Caenorhabditis elegans: one gene and its partners. The protein of the gene in region 4 interacts with the protein of the main gene of each other region in a pairwise test. Each region holds a gene or a part of one and is shown on either strand. Other genes may lie near its edges. The genes, in order: unc-62, moe-3, dro-1 and lin-48.

Region 1 (5,970 bases), on a different chromosome or scaffold from region 4:
GCCGTAATTTGCCTTAAAATCTTTAAGCTTAACATAATTGTTTCTTAAATAGTTTTTGTATTGGTCGGCTTCATTCCGAATCACTGCTCTCTGTCGGTTCCCCGATCCCCCCTAAGGCTTAGAGGCCAGTCTAGTCACTTTTTGCTCCAGCCGGCTTGACCTAAAAATCATACACACATAAAATGGGCCGGCCTCCTCTTAAAATTGACAGATACATCTCATAAACCAATTAAGCGGCGTCTCGTTTACAACTTGACATAATGAGGTAAAATAGGGGGCGGTGCACCTGGCTGGGGGGCACACCAACAACGATTCAATCGAAATCTTTTTTTTTGTTGTGTTTCGTTAGCATTTTTGCCCCGGTGCCCACTCCTCCTCCAATTTTTTCGACGGGTTTCTATAGACCCCATCAATCATTTGTATGACTTGTCCGGTGCAAGTCCACGCAATTCTCCTTCCTTTTTTTGCCTCCGTCCCTCACTACCACCACCACCACCACCACCGACGACGAAACGTATCGATTTAAAAGGAGAGGGAAAAAGAGCGTGCGCGCGGGCCGCCCGTTTTTCAAATTTTGTTTCGTGTCCCCCCCCCCCCCCCCACCAACACCGGGCCGGCTGGTCGGTGGTTGTGATGGTGGTGGACACACGGGTTACTGTAGTAGGCATACACATCCCCTGGTACGGTATTTGGGGAGCCAGGCGAGAGAATCGAAATAGAAGCGAAGAGCAGGGGAGCAAGAGCATCGATTGCGATACGATGCGTGGAAGAAAAAACCACTGATAACTTTTTTTTTCGAATAATGTTCGGCGCACGTAGCAAAGAGCACACCGTAAGCTTATCAGTTTATACGTCAGCCTCGTTGAGCAAAGATCTGCCTAGGTTTTTGAGTATGACTATGGAGAAGAAAAAGTAGATCAGATTGGGAAACAAAATGGCAAAACTATGTACAAATGAATCAAATTTTGTTAGCCTCTAAATTAGCTTTTTTTTATTCACTCTATTTTAGAGACTTATATCTAAGTTGTCCTTAGTCTTATTAAAAAATGTTTTACTGTAAAAATGTAGAAAAATATTTGCACAAATTTTGTCAGTTGAAAATTTTTTTTACAAGCCCTAATGGGATCGAGTTATAAGCCGTCAAAGTGGAGCAAAAAGAGGCAAGGCGGATAGAGCAGTAGCTCTTTTGCATAGAAACAGTAGCTATATTGAAAATGGAAAGCTTGTAAAAAATTGGTTTAAAAATTTGTTAGCCTCATAATTTTGGCCTTTAATTTAGGCCTTTGATTAATCTTTTGAGCTGAGCCTATTACTCTAGAATTTTTGAAACAACTCAATTCTGTCAATTCAAGCAACAAAAGCACCACACGCTACCTTCCAGGAAATCTGAAATCTATAGGTTAATCTTCTTCCCGTGTCTACCATGTTACCAAACAAAGAAAAACAGTCTGAAACTTTATCCCACTTGACACCTCCTACCCCTCCTCTTCCATATGATCCTAATCTTAATCCCCTTAGAACAAAAGGCGACGTTAATAAAGTGCAGCTGGAGTATAAGTAGATGAGGGAAACGGGGGATGTGGTGCATTGAAGGGAAAAAATGTTGAAACTTTTGTATTTTAATGTTAGCATCTCTATGTCTCTACTCTCTGATTATTGATAAGGAAAATGTGTCAAAAAATGACTGTGCTCTCTGGAAGAGGCGAAAGGTTGCGATATTTTATTACATTCATAGGTGCACATTTAGTTGACAATCTGGAAAGTGTAGTTTCAGAAGGATCTTGTTTAATTAATTAATTTTTTGTGGAAACTTGGAAATAGCTGACTAGGTTTGGTAGAGCTTTTTTGATTCCTGATAATGAATTTGAAAAATTAGGACATTGTCCGCAATTTCCTTAGTAGGCTTGCACCCGTCTTGCTCCACTTTAACAGCTTCTATCTCAGCTCTCTTTGATTTTATCAGAAAAATTTTAACTGACAAAATATGCGCAAAATGTTTTTCTATATTTTACCAGTTAAACATTTTTTGATCCAATCAAAAGCAACAGAGATATAGGCCGTCAAAATAGTTTCTCACATTTTCGGTGGAGCAAATTTCTTTCAGAAACCGAACTCACTTTTAGATTTTTTTTTAATTTCCAAACTAGTCACATTTCCTCAGCTCATGCTCATTCACATGACAAAAAACTTCCGGTGAAACTGGCGGTATAATGAAACTTTTTTTTCAGTCTCATACCGTACATTACATAAACCTTATCAAATAAAAAGAAACTAGTTCCAATCTTCATTCTTTCCACTTTATTTTTCCTTAGCACTTACATTTTTTTTGTTCGAATTTCAAAAATATAATGAGAACAGCTTTGTGCACCTAGTGGGGGCAAAAACGAACAAAAGCAATTTATCTTCAATGCGGAGGACATTGGACACAGGACAGCAGCATGTAAACTTGAATTTGCCCTCCTGGTTCATCTCTTGCGGAGCCTATTTATTATTTTTTTTTTCGAATCCATCCCTTTTTTTTTGGTGTGCTTTTTGTGCTTTCGGGCCACGAGGACCCATCTGCTGTTGCTCACGCACAGACTCTTTTGATAAATGATAATGAGTTTCACGTTTTCTTTTTCAAAATTTAATATTTCTCTCTTGCAGGAACATGAGCGGCGACTCAAAAGTGTGGGCTCACGCGTCCGCTGACACTTGGGCTGTTCAAAATGGAATTTCGACGTACGATTTGGACACGTCGAGCATCAAACGAGAGAAGCGGGATCACAATGAGGTAAAATTTAAGAATTGGTTGTTGTTTTAATTTGCGACTAAATTTCCTAATTAAATTGATTTCTGAAAATTGAAAAAATTTTTGCCGATTAAAAAATTCTTTAGGATCTTCACATTGTAGTTTAAGAAATTCAAAAATCAATTTTTAGAATTAAAAATAATTTTATAAATCGAGCTTTGAAGGGTTTTGTATTGTCTGAAACTTCAAAACTTTTGGAATTTCGGAAAAAAAAATGAAAAAAATGTTCAAAATGAACTGTAATTTTTCAGTTCTGTTACGATAAAATGCTTTCAGAAAATTGATAAAATCTATAAAATCAAAATTGTAAAAATTTTAGAGTTTCGAAATTGGTTTTTCATTGAAATATAAATTTCAAGAAACCGGGAAAAAATATTGTAATATTTCGCAAAAATTTGAAACATCACATTAAAGGCACACATTGTTTTTTTTTCTGAGTTGGTCTCGCCACAGGAGCTAAATTCAACAGATTTTTTTTCATTTGACATAGGAAAACAAATTTCAAATTCGGAAATCCACTAAAAATTCAGAATTTATTATGAAAAAAGTATATTAAAGGTGGAATAGCGCCAGTGGGAATTTTGTCTAAATACACTTATAATGATCCAAAACGACCGAATATTATAATAAAACACCCCACAAAATTTTAGCTTTTTCATAATTTCCGTTCAAACTTTTGCCAAATTGCCAAATTTTTGAAAAATATGAGCTTTCGAGGAAATCCAAAGCAATGTCGCATGTTTCGCCCCCTACAATGTTTCAACACGAATAATTAAAATAAGCTTAAAGTGTAAAAAATGTAGGAAAAAACTTTTTTTGGTCGACTTCCAAAATTATGAGTAACAAAAACTGAGTAATTGTCACTTTTTGACCGCAAATAAAAAAATTTAAGAAAATTTTTGATTGTTTTGATGTTTTTGTTTGATGTGTTTGTTTGATGATGTTTTATTACGATATTCGGTCATTTTGGGACCATAGGAGTGGTTTTTAACAATTTCCCCATTGGCGCTACTCCACCTTCAACAACTACCATAAAAATCTAAGAACATATTTTTTGGGTTTACAACCTACCAGTTAAAGTTCATAGAGCTAGTTCCACACATCCACGATATAATATGCAATTTAACAGCCGATGATCCGATTATCAATATCAACAGCATAAAAGCAATAACAAAATCCTGATAATTTTCACACAAATTGTCCGCCGCTTTTATCTTTTCTCTCCTCATTCTTCTTCGTCTCATCATCGCTCCCCCCCCCCCCCCCCCCCCCCCCACCGACCGATTTATCTCTTTTAATCACATTAATCATGTGTTTCTTATCGAGGGTGGAAAATTGGAAAATTGATAGGCGACATGGAATTTGGCTGCCAAGAATCGGGTACTACTTGGTAGAAAATGTAAATTTGTGTTAGCTGGAAAACCTGAGGTCCCCCACACTTGACTTTTTGCCTCGTCTCGCTAAAACAAAAAAAAGAGGAAAATGCAATGCATGTATTTTTTCGTCGTCGTCGTCGTCGTCGTTTTCTTCGTGTTTGACTTCTTCTACTCCTCTCCAAATTTGCCTTCTCACCCTCCTCTCACACCCGGGGTCTACTGTACCGAATTGAGTGCCTATTGGCGCAATAGGGCGGGGCCCCGGCGCATCGCTCTCTCTCTCACTCACTCCTTCTCTCGAGGGGGGCTAACAGGGGAAAATAGACTGAGAGAGAGAGGAGAAGGCAAGCGAGTCGATCTGCCCCCCGGTTGCCCGTTTCTCTCTCTTTCGGTGGTTTCTCGTATTTTTCCCCCACCAGGGAGAGTCAGAGAGAGGGAGCCCCGCCCACATTCACCCCACCAACCCTCCCCCCAACGATCGGACAAGATTGACATACAACCGTTTTGAAGTGTGTGAGAAGTTGTCATTTTCGATATTCATCTGTCTGTCATATTATTTACGTTCGTTCCATCATCATCGACATCACACGCAGGGCAGAGAAGAACACACGCCGCCACCGCCGGCCCATCAAATCGGCACACTAATCAATCGATCAACGAGAGAAGAAGAAGAAGGGGCGGGCGACAAGCTCTGACCATCATCGTGTGTGTGACAGACTGACTGACTGACACCCCGTTGTGGAAAGAGTTTTCGATCCCGACACGACCATCGTTCATCTTATTCAGCAAGGCCCCGTGTGTCGGCAACGACGATGGCGCAGAGGGTACTTCTTCTTCTTCTTCTCCTTCATTCCGTTTCCCCTCTGCTTCTTCTGACTTTGACATGATACCAGAAAGAGCGCCATCCCTTTTTCCTTTTCTCCTCTATAATTTATCGTTGTGTTGGGTGGTGGCTCGAGCTCATTCTTGGGTTTCCAATCAGCCATTGCGCCCCCCACCGCGCCGTCGCTGTCGCTTTTTTCCCGCTTTCTAGATCTCAAAATTGCAATTTTTAGGTGTTCGCCTTGTTTTAAGCGCTGGTTAGTTACAATATAGTTTCCCAAGCTTCAGAATATAGAAAAACTTGACCCCAAATACCTCGAAAAGTCGTATCTCTGCTCATCTCTAGAAAATCAGTGAATATAATACTTTAAAACTATAGTTCTAGAAAAAACAAATATTTTGTCAGCTTAGAACTTTTTGTTTTAACTGAAAATTACAATGAGCTGCCAAATTGAAGCTACGGTCTGCAAGACTAACAGTTGCACCCCATCGTCCAACTTTGACAGCTTATATCTCAGTTTTCGTTCATCCTATATAAAAATTGTCAACTGGCAAAATCCGTATTATTTCTTTTTCTATAATTTTGTAGTTGACTATTTATTTATATCTTCTAATTGAACCGTGATATAACTTTTCAAAGTGAGGTAGTGAGGTGGAATACTATCGACTTTTGCAAATCGTTAAAATAACACCAGTGAATATTTCAAAATATAAGTACTTATATTAAGCCCCTCATTCTTAAATTTTTCCTTGCATCGATTAGTTTTAGTTTTAGTTTCCGAAGCCAACACAAGAATCACAAATAGTTTTACGATCTTACCGACAGTATCACTTTTTCTCGGGAATCATTTGAAAAAAGATAAGAAAATGTCCCAAATTCCACCCCTTTTCCCCGTCTTCCCCGCTGACTAATAAAACCCATTAAAATGATTTTGATGAGCTTGGGCTACTGCTTAGAAAAAATGCCTATGACCACCACCA
Region 2 (8,699 bases), on a different chromosome or scaffold from region 4:
TTCATGCCATCACTTCTCTTTTTTTTCATTCGCATCTTCTCCATCTTGATCCAGAGAGGGGCAAGTCGATGCCGTTTCGTGTTTGTTGTATTGCCAATTGATCCTAATCGCATTGATGCAATAGTCTGGCATTGCTTCTTCTTCTTTCGGCAAAACCTTTTCATTTAGTCCGGTTCCACACGGGCCTCCTTTTTTGCCCTTTTTGCTTTAATTTTTCACTTTTTATAATGCGTGTGTGTGTGTATATCTTTTCGCTTGCCCCTCTAATACTCACTTTTGCGCATCACCATCTTTTCACTCATTACAGTGGATTTCTGAAAGAAATGGAAACGCATGTTACACTCACACCTTTCGCTAGCGTCTTCATCTCTGAATCCTTTCGTTTTCGGTCACTCAGCAAACATGTTACCTCTCTCTCTTTCTTTCTCTGTCTTTTTCTGTTCCATTTGTTACGCAATCGGAATAGAAAAGCAGTTCCAAACTGCCCGTTCTTACCCGCCCTTCCAAGTTTTCTCTCAATCATTTCCCCTTCGATTGCCTAATCTTCCAGTTTGGCTTCTTCATTTTCCCTTAACAATTTAGAATCACATTTTTCTGAGCTTCATCTAATATTTAAATTTGTGCCAAGCGTTCCTACATTGCAAATCAATTGTGTCTTTTTAGGCTCTAGCTTCAAATTTGAGCTCAGGAACAGCTGATCCATAGTTTTTAGTTTGGATCAAAACCTTCAAAACTTGTGTCTTATAAGGCGTAGGTTTGAGGTAGGCAAAAATATAGTTTTCACTTGATTTGGAGAAACTGAAAATTCTCAAAAATGTTCGTCGAATTTTATTCCGACAATTTTCAACTTACCGACAATTTTGGTGCATGTTTTCAATCTGGATTCAGTTGTTTTAAATATTTAAAATACAAGTTAATGTCTGACAAAGCAAATATAGTTATATGTATTTTTTTTTCAATTTTAATGACAAATATTGGGAGAAAATGCCACGCTAGCTCATTTTTTAGAATTTTTGGACACAAAAACATCAAAAAATTTTTGTAGAGACAATGCATATTTTACACGACCACAGCCACAGTACCCGCAAGTATTCTGATATGTATTTTGAACAATTATTCGATATTTTATGTGTTTGCAAAATTTTCCAAAAAATTGAAGCTTCTGAGTTTTAAATAGTGTCAAAAACAGGCAAGACAATTTCGAATCACTTGTAGGTGCGGTAACTGCAAATTTCAAGTTGTTTCGTAATCCGTACCAGGGGTGGGCAGCAAACGATCCGGCAAATCGGCAAACCGGCAAATTGCCGAAATTGGAAATTTCCGGCAAACCGGCAAATTGACGATTTGCAGAATTTGCCAAAAATTTTTTGCCCTTTTTTTTTTGGAAATTTCAGAACTTCAATTTCAGACAGCCGAATTAAGCACATCCTATGAATATTCCTACATTTATTTCAATAAGTAAGCAAATTCTGTTAAAATAACTAGAAAAAACGGGAAAAATTCAAAATGGCACAGTTTTAAGTGTTTACGTCCTGTAAATAATCCCTCTAGACATTTCCGGCAAATCTGATATCCGGCAAACGGCAAATCGGCAATTTGCCGAAAATGAAAATTTCCGGTAAATCGGCAAACCGGCAATTTGCCGATTTGTCGAATTTGTCGACAAATCAATTTGCCGAACCGCAATTGCCGCCCAGCCCTGATTCTATCGCATTTATTTTTGTGTCAAAAAGCAGAAAACTCCGCAACTGGGTAATTTTATATTTTATAGGGCTCCTAAACATCTTAAAGTTCTTTCAACTGGGGTTTTTGTAGGGAGCATCGCAGAATTTTGAAAATACTGGATTTTAAAATCATGTTTCTCCCTGTTCTATTACTTTTAACTGATATACCCCCTGATCCAATGATCTCCAATCAACTGATCGCAATCACATGCCCCCTCCGAACTAGCGGACACATGAATAAAAATCAGCTGTTAAGTCCATGTCGAACCCCTCGTATCTTGTGTAATAGACTGCTCACAATTCTTTTTTGTTCTTATCACCATCACATGAATTGTCATTTCTCGAGACCGGTTCTTCGCTTCTCTGCGTCTCTCGATCTCTCGCCTTATTTTCAGACCGTGTTTTTTACTTTCAAATTTCAGTTCATTTCAACTTCCCCTCTAAGTACATAACCTCTTCAAATATCAAATATTTTGTGTGTCATAGTTATGTTTAATCTTCTCTCATTTTCACTGTTCTCTCATTCTCGTTTATCCGCAACTGACCCTGAAATTTTTGTGCCCGCCGTGTTTTTCACGAATTTCACAGTTTTCAGGGGTATTGGCTGACCGCGACACATTCATCCCGTTTTTCAGATTTTTTACATATTTAATCAAGTCAGGGAAGGCGCACGATGAGCAAGGTGAAAGGGTGAGATTTTTGACGATACTTTTAGAATTTTCGAGGCTAAAATACAAATTTCCGGCAAATCGGCAAACCGGCGAATTGCTGAATTTGCCGAATTTGCCGGAAAAACGGCTTTGAAAGCTTTTTGGAAATTTTAGAATTTAAATTTTAATCGGCAAAATACTACGACTATTTTAAAAAGTAAGCAAATTCTATGAAAATATCTAAAGAAAATCGCGGAAATAATAAACATTTCTGCCGGAAATGAAAAATTCCGGCAAATCGGCAATTGTCGAAAATTTCCGGCAAATTGTGGTTTTGCACGGTTTTTTTGTTGGAAATTTCGGAATTTCAATTTTAATAGACAAAATTGCACGCATCAAAAAATCAAGGTTTTAAGTGTTTTCGTCTTATAAAAAAATCCCTTTAAACATTTTCGGCAAATCTGATATCCGGCAAGCGACAAACCGGCAAATTACCGGAATTGAAAATCTCCGTCAAAAAAAATGTGCCGACAAAAAAATTGCCGAACGGCAATTGGCCGCCTCTGTACATATATATCGACTAATTATTAAAGAAATATGAAAACATAAGAAATAGATGAAGAATTTGTCTAGTTAATAGGTAGGGAAGTAGGCACGTAGGTTTTTTGTGCCTACATGCCTATATGCATAGTGCATAGGGACAGAAAATCTGAAGTTCTAAAAAAATGCTTAAAAACTTGATTAAAAAGTGTATGATTTTGTGCCTACACAGAAAATTTGACTTTGTTTTTTTTTGTTTAATTCCAAACGCGTAAAGCTTTCAAAAATATTTGTTCTGAATATTATCCTTGCTGAAAACACTTTAAAATATATATTAAAGCTTCCTTAAAAGTTTAGTTGAAACCTCCATTTATTAAAAAAAAGTTTTAAAAAAGTTCATAACTTATTCAGTTGGTGTTCCATTGTGACATGGCTATATATTCTTGTCAAGAATATGTATATCTAATTAATAATTTTATTACCACAAAAAATTCCCTTCAAAAGTGTAAGCTGGAGCAATTTGAAAATGTGCAATTTTTAGAAATTTTTAATTTTAAAAGTCAAAGCAAAATTTTAAATAAAATTTTCATAATTGATATTAAATCAGTTTTTGTGCAATTTGTTAAAAGGTTTAATTGAAATTATTGATGCACTATATTTTACGTGTCACATTTTTTACAGCTAAAGCTGTAATTTTGAAAAAGCTTGATAAGTCTAACTAGTGAGATTAAGTGCACTATTTGTGAACAGAAGAGATAAATAAATATCCTGTTCGTTATCACTCGAACGGTTTTATCAGCCGAGATATAGTGGACAGAACAGTGACAACGCCAAAAACTGGCAATAATGATACTTCCTCCCCTCCCCATCCCAACTTTTTTGGATTATTTCATACCCACAACTTATTTATTTTCCAGAGATCTCGAAAAGTCTGACAAGCGTCCACCATCGTCCATGTCAACTGGTTCAGCTGACAGTGGTGTATTCTCATCGGGAGTTCATGCTTCATCACCTAGTCATAGTCAAGGATCATCATCGCAGAGTGGGCCACCGAGTCCTACTACTCAGTTGAACTCGTTGCTTTTTGAAACTGCTAACCTGATTGCGGTGAATGAGCAATTGAGAAAGGAAATTGCAGAGTTAGTTTTATTTTGTTGCTTGGCTCCAGTTTCTTGCGCAAGTTTTGCCCGAAAAAATTAACTTGGAATTTCGGCAATTGCCGGTTTTGGAAATTTTCGGCATTTGGCAATTCTGTGCAATTGCCGGTTTTAGAAATTATCGGCAATATTGGCAATTTCTGCATTTGCCAGTTTTAGAAATTCTCGGCAATCGGAAACTGCAGGTTTTGGATATTTTCGGCAATTGGCAATTTTGACAATAGCCGGTTCAAAAATTACATTACTTTGAGCTTGAAAAAAAAAAAGTTCATTAAAGTGCATGTTTAAGGTCCGGCAGTTCTGATTTCCGAAAACCGGCAATTCTGACGATTGCCGGTTTCGGGAGTTTTCTGCAATCGGCAAATTTGGCAGTTGCCGAAATTGCCGAAAGCAGAATTGGGCCAAATTTCGGTTAAACTTTGGGCCTAAATGTCTTGCCCAACTGTTGCCCAAGTTAACTTTTTTGTGCCAAATTTGGGCAAGAAGCTATGTTTGAAACCTAAACACCAAACACTGTTTTTCAGAAACAAGCAAATCCAGACGAACCAGATGCGAGCACTCAGATACTCCTCAAATCCAGTCGATCAGCCATTTGTAGCGAATTCGATATCACCACATCACGGGTTTCCACAGTGAGTTTTAATTATTCAAATTGTTAAACCAAAAGAAATTCAAAATCTTTTTGATTTGGAAAAAATGTGAAAAAACCAAATCAAAAACCATTGAAAAAATTCAAAGATAACGTACCAAGTTTCAACGCATGTATCTAAACTATTTTTTGTGATATCAAAAAGTTTTTAACTGCACTAATGTAGCTGATAATGTGATAAATATTTTTGTAGTTGAAAATGCTTTCATAGCGCTTAAAATAACTAAGATGTAAGGTGTCAAAGTAGTGGAAAATTTCCACAAAAAAAAACCATTTTTAGAGTTTCTCCTAATAATTACATTTTCCAGACGCCCCCCTCGCGGCGAACGGCGGATGCAAAAGCCCGAATCTTACAAGACGGTCATTTGTCAGGCATGGCTCGAGTCGAAAACATGCACTTTTGCTGAAAATTGCCGATTTGCACATGGAGAGGAAGAGCTGCGCCCGGCGAAGTGAGTTTTCAAAATTTTTGCGCATAACTTTTGGCGCAGGGGTGGACAATTTGCCGATTTGCCGGAAATTTCAATTCCGGCAATTTGCCGATTTTCGGAAAAATTCAATTCCGGAATTTTATCGATTTGCCGGAATTTCTATTCCGGCAATTTGCCGATTTGCCGGAAATTTCAATTCCGGCAGTTTACCGATTTGCCGGAAATTTCAACTCCTGCAATTTGCCGCTTTGCCTGAAATTTGACGCGCAAAAACCCTGAATATTTTCAGACTGGAATCACGACAAAACAACAAGTACAAGACGAAACTTTGTGACAAGTACACTACCACTGGACTATGCCCCTATGGCAAACGGTGTCTTTTTATTCATCCCGATAATCAGCCAAATGCATATATCAGAGCTGATAAGCTTTATGAGGTTAGTGATGGAGAGGTGGCCTAGAAAATTCAAGTCGGCTATCTTTTGAAACTAAAATGTATTATCTAGACTAGAAATTTTGGATTTTTTGCCCAAAATTGCGGTACCCGGTCTCGACACGACAATTTTTACTAGATTTTGAAACTACACTATTCTTTAAAGGCGCACACCTTATTGTATATTTGCTTCACCAACAAAAATATTTCGCGTCGAGACCAAGTACCGTACCTATGCCGCAAAAATCGCAAATTCCTGTAATTATTCAAAAACTCCAATTTTCAGGTCTCGCAGCGCCACGCACTCGCAGATTTACGGGATCACGTGGAATCACAGATTATGACAGGAAATACGAGAAACTCGTATAATCAACAGCCGCCACCGATGGGCGGTCTAGAAATGCAATCTTCACCGATGAAATCGAGTTCTGACTCCAGTCATATGCGTTCTCCAATGGCTCAGATGAATTGTGAAAGTGAGTTTTTTAAAATAATTTTTTAGAAAAAAAACAAGTTTCAATAAATTCCTTGAAATTTTTTTTTCAGCCACGCGTCCTCACCCTAGCTGGCCGTTGGAATCTTCGTCCTTTTTCTTGCCACCCGAAATGTCTTCAATCAATAATAATAATTTGATGAGCCCATTTGAGACGCCATTTCCCAACGGCTCCACGGGAATTCAACCACATTTTGTGACAGGTTAGATTTATGGGATATTACGGGAACACAAAATTCTGAGAATGCGTATTGCGCAACATATTTGACGCGCAAAGTATCTCGTAGCGAAAACTACAGTAATTCTCTAAATGACTACTGCAGCGCTTGTGTCGATTTACAGGGCACAGTCTCCTCCAGTGGAAATTTTGGTTTGTTGGCGCACTTCTCGTGCATCGCGTGCAAAATTGAGAAATTTCCGAAAACGTTCAATTTACTGTTTTTCTTCATATTTTTCATAACATAAGCTTTGGTGGAAGATTACTTTTCAAATGAACATCAAATTCCACTAGAAAAATGATGAAAAATATACGAAATATGAGAAAAACTCAATTTTTAGCGGTTTTTTCTTTTTATATCAGCGCTTTTATTTTTGAACCAAAATCAAAAATCTTTTTTTTTCCACCTTGCCCTTAATTAGCTTTACAATTGATACGTAATTAAAAAGTTTGAAATCGATTTTAAACCCGTGAAAACTGAAGGAAATCACTTTTCAACGGTAAAATTTTCCCACGCTCACGAGAAACGCGCAAGCCCCCTTGTTGGGTCATTTCCAGGAGGCTGTGCAGGGCTCTAGATTTTTGAAAAGAAATTCATTTCGAAAATCGAGCGCTACAGTAGTCATTTAAAGGATTACTGTAGTTTTCGCTGCGAGATATTTTGCGCGTCAAATATGTTGTGCAATACGCATTCTCCGAATTCTGTGTTCCCGTAATAAATTATTCCCCCATTTTTGTGTGAAATTTGTAATTTTTCTTGAAAAAACTTGTGAGCTTGAATTTCTCAAACTTGCGCGTCAAATACGAGGTACTAGGTGCAGTGAACCACAGAATCCGAATACTGTGCAAACACCGACACAAAGCGTCATATTTCACTCGCAAATTTGAAAGATCAATAATGGTTTTTTTTTTCGTGGAAAAAACACAAATTTCAATTTAAAATTAAAAAATTCCGAATTTTCAGCAAAACGGAGAGCAGCCTTTCCTCCAGTGCCTTCCAATTTCCAACAAGACGATGATAATATGTCATCAATTCCAGGATTCGACCATCTTGCAGAGGATATGGCTAAACATCTTGAATTGTGGTGACATTTTTCAGTTTTTTTTTAATTTGAAATTTGTTTGTCTTCCTTGTCTGTGAGTATTGTTCAACGATTAGTTACTAATAATATTTGAGTAGCAAGTGGTCCTAAATCCTTTTTTTTAAAGATTTTTAAATTTATAATAAAAATGGGACCACCTGATACACATCTCACTAATATTTTTTTCGCTTCTTTTTTTGAAAATTTTTTATCTCCTAATATTAATTATTTTTATTGCTCCCCCTAAATAAAGTTTTAATTTTATTTCACACAAGGGATAATACACGTTGCAAAAAGCGCAAAATCCTAAGCTTCTTTCTCTAAAAATTTTGGATGAGGTTGGTTCTTTTCTTTTTTTTTGGGAGGGAGAAACGGAATAAAACCGGAATATGGAGCAAAAAAGAGACGGGAAAAACGAAATTGATGCATACTGACTACGAAAATCAAAAAGAAAAGGCATCTAGAAAGTCGTGTGAACAATTCTGAAACAGGCAAATGTACAATTGAACGGGGACTTTTTGCAAAAAAAAAATTTGAAGGAATAAGTGAGTATTTTCGATCGAGATGCTCCGCACAGCTGCTCACTTTCCGATCCGTTGGCGGACCTTGTTGTACTTGTCCGTGAGCCGGTCCACTCCTGACGCGAATCGTCGATAGCCATTTTGCATGTGAGCAGCAATCGCCAAGACTACGTAATAGGTCTGTTGAGTCAACTTCACTCCGTAGAGAATCACGTCTTTTGTCACGTTGTAGAGCAGAACCTGAATAAAAACTGTTTTGTTTTTGAATTCAAAAATTTATCCAGAAATTTGTGCGAATTTAAGGTTTTGAAGAAATAGTATTATTTAGGGCTATAAATTCTGCTATTTCTGCGCAAAATATTACGGTATCCGGTCTCGACACGAAATATTTTCTTGAAGCGCGGAGGAAAGGTGTGCCGCTTCAAAGTGTACTGTAGTTTCAATATTTCAATGTTGCAGAATTTTTATCGACTTTTTATAGTTTTTTCCACGATTTGTCAACTCCTAATGTTTTTTCTTGTTATATTTGAGTTTTTTAATTAAAAATAATTTTTGAAAAACAATGAAAAAACCGCATCAACAAGAATTTTGAAAAAAAAAACAATTTTTGAGTTTTTGTTGATTTTTTATAGTTTTTTTTGTTAAAAAAATATATTCATTTTTTTTATTTAAAAGCTCAAATATAACGGTAAGAACACAATAAATCTTAACAAATCGTGAGGAAAACTTCGATTTTTGATTTTTATCATTTTTGTCAAAATCTATTGTGTTTTTATTGTTATATTTGAGCTTTTAAATAAAT
Region 3 (4,244 bases), 9.6 Mb from region 4:
GCTCTTTCTCTCCGTCTCTTCGCCACATACTCTCTCACTGCCGCACCGCTTTTTTTTCAATAAAACAGGGTAAATTTAGTGAATTGATTTGAAACTCTATCTGTATTTAAAATAATAATAATTATTATTAAATTATTATTAAAAAAAGTGTGTCAACATCTATTTTAATTATGTTAACTACTAAACATAAATAAAATGCGTATTTTTTTGCAAGAAAGAAAAAAAGGCCGCGTAAAAAGGGAGACACAAATAGTGTTCTAACTAGATTCTCAACGCGATGCGTAGTCTAATATGAACGCAGACATACAAACAAAAACGAGAGGTGACCTCGTTTCCAATCTAATTAGCCATGCTAGCGTGTACTGAAGTGTCGAACGTCTAATTAGAAAAAAGCAATTAAGCATACGTAATGGCTTTTCTGTCTTTTTTGGAATAATTTGTAAATGGAAAAGTGAACTTAATCAATATTTAAGTTGGATTTATTATCAATAGAAAGTTTCAAAATGGAAAAGGTCTCGAAAAATCCAATTTCTAAGCGTGTGCATTTTTCTCTTTGATTAGCACCATCTGTTCTTCAATTAGACCCGTTTTTCTCTTTAACGGGAGAAATAGTAATGCACTAGGTAACTTATTGCTTTTTTTTTCTGAAAATTACTTTGAATTCAAATTTGAATTTTTAAATTTCAAATCAAACTACTGTAGCATCGAGTTTCGCGTCAGCACGAGAGTTGCGCCAGTCGCCGCGCCAAGGCGCCTAGAAAAAACGGCGCTCGCAATTTATTTTCAATTTTACACATTTTCTCTCCTAATTTATCGATTTTGCGGGATTTCGCACAGATTTTCTTTGATTTTTCAACTATTCTCATTGTCCCAGAAATATAATTGAGCATTATGAGCCACCTGCTTTCCCCAGGCACTTGCAGTATCCATGGGAACATGGCGAAAATAGGATTTACCAGAAATTTCGAAATAACTCAATTTTTCTAGTGATATTTGTCAAAATAAATGGTTTTCTAGTTTGTAAAATAAGTTTTTAACTAGATTAAGTAGAATTTGTCCTGTAATTATTGCGAAATAACTATGTTTCTTGATTTTAGGCTCTATTTTCAATAATTCCGGATTTCCTAATGTTTTTCTTCGTTTTGGAAGTAGTTTTTATTAATTAATATATTTAAATTTCAGAAAATGTCTCAATATGAGCGATTCGACTCGGTGCTGCTCTCCATGGCCCAACAGCTGAGCGGCGGAGTGCCTGAAATGCTTGATGTACTATTTGAATTTCTTTCGAGGTAAGAAATTTTTTCAAAGTGCTTAATAAATACATGTTTTGTTTCAGAAAGACGGATTTCTACAGTGGCGCTGGTGTCGATCAAGCCCGGACCCTTCTCCTCGAAAAATTCGATAAACACGGTGGAAAGGCTATGAAGGAAGCTGAAGAAGCCAAGAAACGGAAGGAAGAGCAGGAGAGGAAGCTTGCTGAACGAAGAGCTGCACAAAAAGCTAAGGAAGAGGAAGAGTTCCGAAATGCGAAAGTCGTGGAAGTCACTGATGAGGAAGCGGCCGCGTTTGAAAAGGAACAGGCTAAAAATTCTGTTGAAAATCTTGAAAAATTCGTCGATAACGAAGGAGAAACATCGAAAGACGCTGAAGTCGAAGATGAGGACAGTAAGCTCATGAAACCAAATAGTGGAAATGGTGCGGATCTTGCCAAATATCAATGGACTCAAACACTCCAAGAACTCGAGGTGAAGATTCCAATTGCTGCTGGATTTGCTATCAAATCTCGTGACGTTGTCGTCAAAATAGAGAAGACTTCAGTATCTGTCGGCCTGAAGAATCAAGCTCCGATTGTCGATGGAAAGTTGCCTCACGCCATTAAAGTAGAAAATTGCAACTGGGTAATCGAAAACGGGAAAGCGATTGTCCTAACTCTCGAGAAGATCAATGATATGGAATGGTGGAATCGATTCCTTGATTCCGATCCTCCAATCAATACTAAGGAAGTGAAGCCAGAGAACTCGAAATTGAGCGACTTGGATGGAGAGACACGTGCCATGGTCGAAAAGATGATGTATGATCAGAGGCAGAAGGAGATGGGTCTTCCAACGTCTGATGAGAAGAAAAAGCATGATATGCTGCAACAGTTCATGAAACAGCATCCTGAAATGGACTTCAGCAATGCTAAAATTGGATAATTCTGTGAATTTTGTGAGATTTGTTCCGAAAATATTATATTTATATTCGCATAAATGTACTCAGTTTGATATTAATTTTATTTCATCTTTAAACTTTTAATAATGTATTTCTCATTCCTTATATCTCTTTTAGATCCCTTAAAAATGCAGTGCTTCAACACAATTTTCAGACTCTTCACAGATATGGATGAGGACAATGAAATCGGACTTCCACAGAAAGGTATCAACCAAATTATCAAAGAAGTTGTTCCTGAAATGCGAATCGCCAACGAGTCGAGAGATATGATCAATGCTTGCTGCGTTGAGTTCGTGAAGCATATTGCGAGAGAAGCACAACGAATTGCGAGCCAGGATCAGAGAAAAACAATATATCACGAACATGTTCAGAAGGCACTGCAGAATTTAGGATTCACACCAGATTATCTCGAGGCCGCCGACAGTGTTCTCGATGCCTGCAAGGTTGAAGCCGAGAAGAAGCTGCGAAGGAAGAACTCTCGTCTTGAAAAATGTGGTATTCCAGAGGAAAAATTGTACGAAATGCAACAAGAATTAATTCAGAAGGTAATTTTTTGAGGTTTTCAAAAATAATTTTGTTTTTATAAAACAAACACTCATTTCCTCAATGTTAATATTTATTTTACAGGCACGCCAACAAGAAATTGAGCAGCAGCTTGCTCACCAACAAGCACAAGCCGCGGCGGTAGCAGCCGCAAACGCACAAATGTTTGGAGGACCATCAGAGGGCTCTTTGGCTCCAACCGACGATGACTACGACAACTAGATTGTTTTTCTTCGCTTTTTTTTTCTACGGGTTCTCATTTTATTTCTTCATTTGTGTATTTACCTTGATTCATCATCGATAATTTCTAAATCTCTTTTTAAAATTGTTGTACTATATTCCACCATTTCCTATTTTCCCCGTGAATTTTTTTACTGACCCGCTCCATATTTCAATGGCACGTCATTTAGGGCACGATTAGTTGGCGTTTTCCCCAGTTGTTCTCGGCTTCTCAGATCAGTCCTGTTTTTGCCTTGCCAGTTGTCGAGGTGCGAAAATTTTAAGCGCAAATGTCAGATTCTGAAATAGCATTTGAGAAGCTGAAAATCTCTGGGGAGAAAGAAGGTGAGCCATTCCCTTTTTCATTATCGTTTGAGTACTATAAATTATTCACAAAAAAACTGTTTCTCGCCGTTTTGCATCACTTTTTTGGTTCCACGTGCCCATTTTTATTTGCATTCATTTATTCTCTCTGTTTACTGATTTTACTAATCGAGTTCTTCCAGGTATGACTGAAACGGAGCAAACGACGGCACCCATTTATCCGCTGAAGCGTAACTGGACGTGGTGGTATTTGAACGATGAGCGCAACAAGTCTTGGGAGGATCGTCTGAAGAAGGTGTACACCTTCAACACCGTCTCGGAGTTCTGGGCTCTCTACGATGCTATCCGTCCACCAAGTGGCCTCAACGCGTTGTGCGATTACAACGTTTTCCGTGACGATATTCAGCCGATGTGGGAGGTTCCGGAAAACTCGAACGGAGGACGCTGGCTCATCGTCATTGACAAGGGAAAGACTCCCGAAATGGTCGATGCTATTTGGCTGGAGATTCTCATGGCTTTGGTCGGCGAGCAATTCGGAAAGGACATGGAGTCGATTTGTGGGTTGGTGTGCAACGTCAGAGGAAAAGGATCGAAGATCAGCGTCTGGACTAAGGATTGCAACGATGATGAAACCAACATGAGGATTGGGTATGCATGTCTATTTTTAATTCTATCTTGAATTTTGGAATTTCAGAGTTGTGCTGAAGGAGAAGCTGATGGCCGCATCCAAGGACCACTCAAAGCCACTGTTCGATGTGATCCGCTACGAAGATCATGAGAGCTGCCAGAAGAAGACCAGCTCGGTTGTGAAAGCCAAGCTTTCATTGCACTCGTCCGATGCTCCAGTCGCCGAGAAATCCGCCGTCTAAAGCAGACCATTTTGTATCTGCTCTACTTGTTTTTTAATTACACCCGTTGCTTGGCTAGTATTTCACTCGTTGTTTTGT
Region 4 (5,645 bases):
GAGTATTTAGAGGATGGGCCATTGATTGATTCTCCAGCTACACCTGATTCAGGAAGTGAAGGGTCATTCATTGATAGTGCACGTATGTTGGATGATGAGGATGAAAGTATTGAAAGGCATCGGTTTGAGAAGGCGTTCAGAGGGAAGATTGATTTGCCAACGTCGGAGAATGGAGTATATCTCGCAAGGACGGTGGCGCCTGTTTTGACTAAAGCGCTGGCAGAGGTAGGTATTGTAAAATTAGTAGCGGCTGACGTTTCGCGGGCTGGACCCGTGTTTCGTAGTTGTGTCGGCCATAGCAGCCGACGATTTAGAGGTGACCCGGGATATGTCGGCCGCTTTCACGTTCTTTGCCAGTACGAATGACACTTTTCAAAGCAGCCGACTCCTCACGGATCAGCCATTAGGTGTTCAGCATAACCGGCCGACGTCGGGCGCTTCTATTTTTATGGCCGCCAGTAAATTTTAAGTCAGCACTCATGTACAGCAGCCGACTCTTCATGGGTTAGGGCTAGGATTTGAAGCAGGGAGATGTCGGCCGCTTTCTTTTTTATTGACAGCAAAATTTCAAAACATCTTAGTATAACTGCCGGCACCTCACTAGCGGGAAATAAGGATTAGGGTTATAACAAAACCATGAGATGTCGACTACTCGAGAAACTGACAAATTTTAAGTGCCAACTAGAAAACGTGTTTGGCAGCCGACATCATAAGGCTTTAGTAAAGCGGCCGACACTTCGCGCGCACGCTTCAGAGATTATGCTGAACCCGTTAAATGTCCGCTGCAATTTTAAGCATTTATTTTTTTTCAGGTTCTACTTCGCCGTCCTGCCGACCCTATTGGATTTATTGCCGAGTGGCTCTCAAAATACGTCGTAGAAATTCCACGTCACAATGGAAGTCATTGATTTCAACACATTTTTTAAGAATAAAAAAAGGAGAAACTTTTTTATTTCAATAAAATGTGTCATTTTTTGGGAAAATTTGTTGTCATTGGTATAAGTTAAATACATCATGGAATCATCTAGAAGACAGAAATGGGTGAAAAGGGTCTTGGACGGAGAGAAAATAGTGTCATTGGGGTTAATAAATCAGTCACGGGGGTGCAAAAAGGATCACCAACAAATGGGGAAATGACGATGATTTGGAGGATTTTTGGAAAATAGCTAATTTCTAAAAAAAATTAAAAATTAAATAGGAAAAAAGGTGAGTATTATAGGGAGATCTTGGAAAGTTGTTCGGGTTTCATCGATGAGTTCTTTTTCTGAAGCTGTGTAAACCGAAGGTAGGCGGCCGAGAAGGGGTGTACTACCTTGATGTGAGATAGATAGACTTCGAACTTTTCGTCCGTATAACCACAATCTTCACAGACGAATACCTGGAAATGTAGAAGTTATTGTCGGTCGGTGTGTGCCTAGATGCCTAGATGCCTAGATGCCTACATGCCTACATGCCTACATGCCTACATGCCTACATGCCTACATGCCTACATGCCTACATGCCTACATGCCTACATGCCTACATGCCTACATGCCTACATGCCTACGTACCTTCATGCCTACATGCCTACATGTCTACATGCCTACATGTCTACATGCCTACATGCCTATTTTCTATTTCTATTTTGTCTATTGTTTGAGTCTACTTTGAGAGTAGGCACGCAGGCGTAGGCAGACATGCATACCTTTCTGTCAACTCACCTTACTACGACGCTCTTTGTAGGCATATTGATGAGTGACACCGTGAACTTTCCGTAAATGGGATTCCAAGGAGCATCGTTGAGTGAACGACTTCTCGCATTGCTCACATTTGTAGGGACGGACGCCTGGAATACAGAAGGTCATAGGTAGATAGGCACGCCTGCCTTTGTCTGCTTATTTTTGAATTTATTATTAAACAATTTTCTATTCAAATAACTTTTTAGAAATACATTAAAATGAGCAGAACGTGTTGTCGGTTTCAATTTTAATGTGGTCCCCTTGATTTTCCACCGTAAATCAAGTTAGAATCGTCGACAATTTGCGGTGAAAATGTGTGGAATATTACGCTTCGCTACAATGGATTCAATGACACCCCACAAAAAAGCAGTGTGCTAGACAAACAGACGCAGACAATTGTCTTCCAACCGTAAGTCAACGGAGGGTAAGAAGAACGACAAATTAGTGGTTATGAATTGGTGGCAGAGGTAGAGGAGTACTTTAAAGTGTTGAGAGGTACCTGTATGTGTTCTGGTATGCCTTTTTAAGTCGAATGTATCGTTGAAACCCTTTCCACAAAATGTGCATAGATACCGTTTCAGGTCACTATGACACTTTATGTGACGGTTCAGAAGACGTTGTAAACCGAACTTTTTGCCGCAAATGTGACAGGTTAATGAATCTTGGAACTCGTCTTTGCTGGAGGAGATGAGGGATGAAGGAGATACTGTTGAACACGGAATTGAGGTGGTTTCGAAGGAGCTGATCAACGGAGCCAGGGGGTTTTTGACTCCGTAGCCTCCGTTTACAAACTCCACTGCTGGATTTATAATTGGCTGAAAATCAGAAAAAAAAAATTTAGAATTTTCCTTGATTAGCGTCTTACACTGGGTATGGCTGCCTTGGGTGATGGCGAAAGAATCGATGCTGGTGGTGAAGGATCATCATCGAGAAATCGTTCAATGAGAAACTGAAAATGTTCCTTTCATCGTAGATAAGTATTGTGCCTGCCAATGTGTCTATCTAGGCTACGCGGTTCAAAACGAAAAAGATAATTTCAGGCGGTTTCAGAACAAAAAATATTAGATAAAAATTTCAAGATGGCCGAGATTTCTAATTTTCTAGGCCACCAACTTTCCATTCCTACCTTTTTCGAATTCTTCTCTTCGGGTTTGCTGCTATTGGTGCTACTTCTCGAAATTGATGTATTATTATTATTTGCAATCATCTGAATTCACACTTTCAAGTTTTTTTTTTGAAATCAAGACTCAAATACCTGAGTAATAACACTAATGTCTCGAGGCAGCAAATGCGCTCCAATCAGCGGCAGCCATACCCGTGAATCCATCTGAAATTGAGCAGAGCTGAAAATTTTTGTGATGATTTTGTGGAATTTTTTCCAAACAAGGAACAACAAGCGGAAGCGTCCGAGTCGGGGCGGGGTGTGTTATCACCGAAGAAATCCAATCCGGCAATTATTTCAAATACTCGGCGCCAGATAATAATAGGTACAATGTCTCGGATGTCGGGAATAATTGGAATATGGAGGTGTTGGCTCCGAGAGCACAAAATCACGGTAGGGAGAGGATAATCATGAAACCGAAAGTGAAATTTAGGATTTTTCTGGGATGGTTTAGGGGAGAGGTACACAAAACTATTGAGCGTTCCCACAAGCCGAAGCCTAGGCTTAAGCCAAAGCTTATGCCTAAGCTGAAGCCTACGCTGGAAGACTGAGCCTAAAGCAAAGCCTGAGCCTAAGCCCTAGCTTGAGCCTAATCTTAAGCCTAAGCTTAAGTCTAAGCCTAGACCTAAACCACAAAAAAAAGTTGGGTAATTTTCACGAAACTCTCCCAAAACCATTTTTAGTTCAACAATAAAAAAAATCCGAAAAAAATATTTTGTATTTTTTTAAATATTTTTTTGTGTTTTTTGTGCATATAGTTTTGAAAAAGTTGCATTTATAACAGGAAATTTCAGTAAGACAGAAAAATCTTCAGTTTTTGGCTGGAAAACTGAAATATCTGAGAGAAAAATTACCTAATCGAATTGTTTCAAAATTTGAGCTAGAAACATAGATAAATATTTGGTTCACTTGAAAAACTATTTTTATTTTTGTTGAAAATTTTTAAAAATCCCCCAAAATAATTTCTGCAAATTGCCAGAAAATATAAAAATGATGCAAGAAGGGACATGAAACTTCTTCTTACATGTAGATATATTAATATAATTGTAAGGATATATGACACAAGTATATTAGGCAACTAGTAGACGGTTACAGTTCCCCCTTCTTCCCTTTTGTGTGTTGGTGAAACGGATGAGCACTTGGCGCACTTGAGAAGCGGTTTCTAGAGAGAAGAAGAAGAAGCATCAATTGGAAAGAGAGGAACAACAAAACAATTGTGTATGGCACCAGAAGAAGAAACAGTTGCCCAATGCCAAGATGGGGGAACGTTTAGCAACGGATGAGCTTGTGGCGATTAGAAGGCAGGTTGGCCGTGACTACAAGAGGATTACGGTAGGCAGACATGAAGACCGTTTTGAAAAAGGAAGAGAGGGGGATTATTGCGTAATCGTTCAGGGAAGGGGTTTCGAAGTTTTCTTCTTTTTCTGCTTTTTTTTTGAGAACGAACTTTCAAAAAAAAAAACTGAAAAAAAAAGAAAACAAGTTCCAAAGGCGCGTTTTCCTGTCTACATGCCTACATGCCTACAAGCCGCCGCCTAGCGCCTTCTTCTTGTTGGAATGAACTTTGGCATTATGTATCTGAGCAGGCAAGGTAGGCAATAGGCACGTATTCAGGCACAAGGCAGGCGAAGGTTGTCTTAGATGCAGGCAGGTATTACTGTGCCGAAGTGGTTTTTTCTTGGAATTTAGATGATACTCTGAAACTTTCGATGAACTCAAAAATGTGGCTATCATATTTTTGCGAGAAAAACTAAATTAAGTTACAGTAAATCTTAAAATTCTTATTTTTAATGAGTGGCCTAGTTTTCTCAATCTTTTTGTGATTTTTCTCCTAAAATTACGGCCATGGGTCCTGGCACGAGCGAAAAAAAAACTTTCCAACTACCGTACTCTCTTTTACCGGCAATTAAAAATTTCCAAATTTAATATAAAGTTCAAAAAACTGAATTCAAATACCAGCGATATATCAAATTAATTAACAAGTAACGGGAGAAAAGTGTCATAAAAGTCGTTTTTGATATCTATCAGGAAAAAAGTGATAAGGGTGAGATAATAGTGGCGGCTGAGAACGCAAGAACTTTTTTCATTGATAAGAACACAGATATCAATTTAATGAAAAATCGCATTGAGGTCCCGCAACAAACCCCAAATTTGGGTCTCGTCGCGAAAATAAATTTACTTATTTTTTTGCGATAAGACTCATCTCATTTTCGTAGTTCGTAGAAATAACTGAAATTGTTCAATTCTCCAAAACAAAATAAAACACAACAATGAAGATGCAACCAGTTGTATACCGGTGAGGAAGGGGTACGGTATCACATAAACCCGCGTCGCTTCAGTCGGTCCGCAATATCAGCGGTATAGGACCTCCCCTTGTGTTTGTATATTTGATTTTGAGAGAGGAGACGGAACGATTACCTTTTTCCTCTTCTTTTTTTTGCATTCTACCGTATCAGGGCGTCACGCTGTCTGCGTCTATATCATCACAAAAGAGGTGTTGAAACTGTGGGATCTTCTGAAGACAACGATGACGGCGCGCGCGCGCACGGTGCATTTATGAAGCGTGACGGTAAGGAAGAGATGAGAAGACGGAGGGACACGTTTTTGAATCACTGGTTGATCAGCCAGTTTGGCGAGAGGAATTGGCAAGGTCGGGATGGAATGAGTTTTCAGGGTGATACAGCACACCTCCAAATACGGAGAAATGTAGTTTTGAACGAGTAAGTACTTTTTAGACAATGTGCACATTACGTATTCTTTGGGCA

What was found.
Region 1: the proteins of lin-48 (region 4) and unc-62 interact in a two-hybrid assay, tested with the Caenorhabditis elegans proteins (one large-scale study listed by BioGRID).
Region 2: the proteins of lin-48 (region 4) and moe-3 interact in a two-hybrid assay, tested with the Caenorhabditis elegans proteins (one large-scale study listed by BioGRID).
Region 3: the proteins of lin-48 (region 4) and dro-1 interact in a two-hybrid assay, tested with the Caenorhabditis elegans proteins (one large-scale study listed by BioGRID).

Annotation. Positions count from the first base shown.
Region 1 is NC_003283.11:4,494,817-4,500,786, forward strand, and holds the start of unc-62 (Homeobox protein unc-62), read left to right. Parts: upstream 1-2,646; 5' UTR 2,647-2,650; coding exon 2,651-2,773; intron 2,774-4,513; exon of another isoform or gene 4,514-4,979; coding exon of another isoform or gene 4,980-4,991; intron 4,992-5,970. UniProt on the Caenorhabditis elegans protein: Acts redundantly with ceh-20 and ceh-40 to perform overlapping roles during embryogenesis.
Region 2 is NC_003280.10:13,159,354-13,168,052, reverse strand, and holds moe-3 (CCCH-type zinc finger protein moe-3), read left to right. Parts: upstream 1-2,319; 5' UTR 2,320-2,397; coding exon 2,398-2,414; intron 2,415-3,831; coding exon 3,832-4,053; intron 4,054-4,595; coding exon 4,596-4,703; intron 4,704-5,028; coding exon 5,029-5,172; intron 5,173-5,440; coding exon 5,441-5,588; intron 5,589-5,870; coding exon 5,871-6,060; intron 6,061-6,130; coding exon 6,131-6,280; intron 6,281-7,258; coding exon 7,259-7,383; 3' UTR 7,384-7,638; downstream 7,639-8,699. Other genes in the region: F32A11.1 (Mitochondrial import inner membrane translocase subunit Tim21), read right to left, coding at 7,958-8,137. UniProt on the Caenorhabditis elegans protein: Zinc-finger protein that may play a role in oocyte maturation and fertility.
Region 3 is NC_003281.10:13,340,345-13,344,588, forward strand, and holds dro-1 (Protein Dr1), read left to right. Parts: upstream 1-2,339; coding exon 2,340-2,756; intron 2,757-2,838; coding exon 2,839-2,976; 3' UTR 2,977-3,263; coding exon of another isoform or gene 3,264-3,318; 3' UTR 3,319-3,368; downstream 3,369-4,244. Other genes in the region: nud-1 (Nuclear migration protein nudC), read left to right, coding at 1,186-1,289, 1,337-2,195; ife-1 (eIF-4F 25 kDa subunit), read left to right, coding at 3,264-3,318, 3,480-3,945, 3,992-4,166.
Region 4 is NC_003281.10:3,742,861-3,748,505, reverse strand, and holds lin-48 (Transcription factor ovo-like homolog lin-48), read right to left. Parts: upstream 3,069-5,645; 5' UTR 3,046-3,068; coding exon 2,974-3,045; intron 2,926-2,973; coding exon 2,845-2,925; intron 2,668-2,844; coding exon 2,584-2,667; intron 2,534-2,583; coding exon 2,218-2,533; intron 1,826-2,217; coding exon 1,701-1,825; intron 1,379-1,700; coding exon 1,214-1,378; 3' UTR 934-1,213; downstream 1-933. Other genes in the region: arcp-1 (ANK_REP_REGION domain-containing protein), read left to right, coding at 1-225, 813-908. UniProt on the Caenorhabditis elegans protein: Transcription factor. Involved in development of the hindgut, the male tail, and the excretory duct cell. Involved in modulating function of excretory duct cells. Plays a role in left/right patterning of cell fates in the hindgut.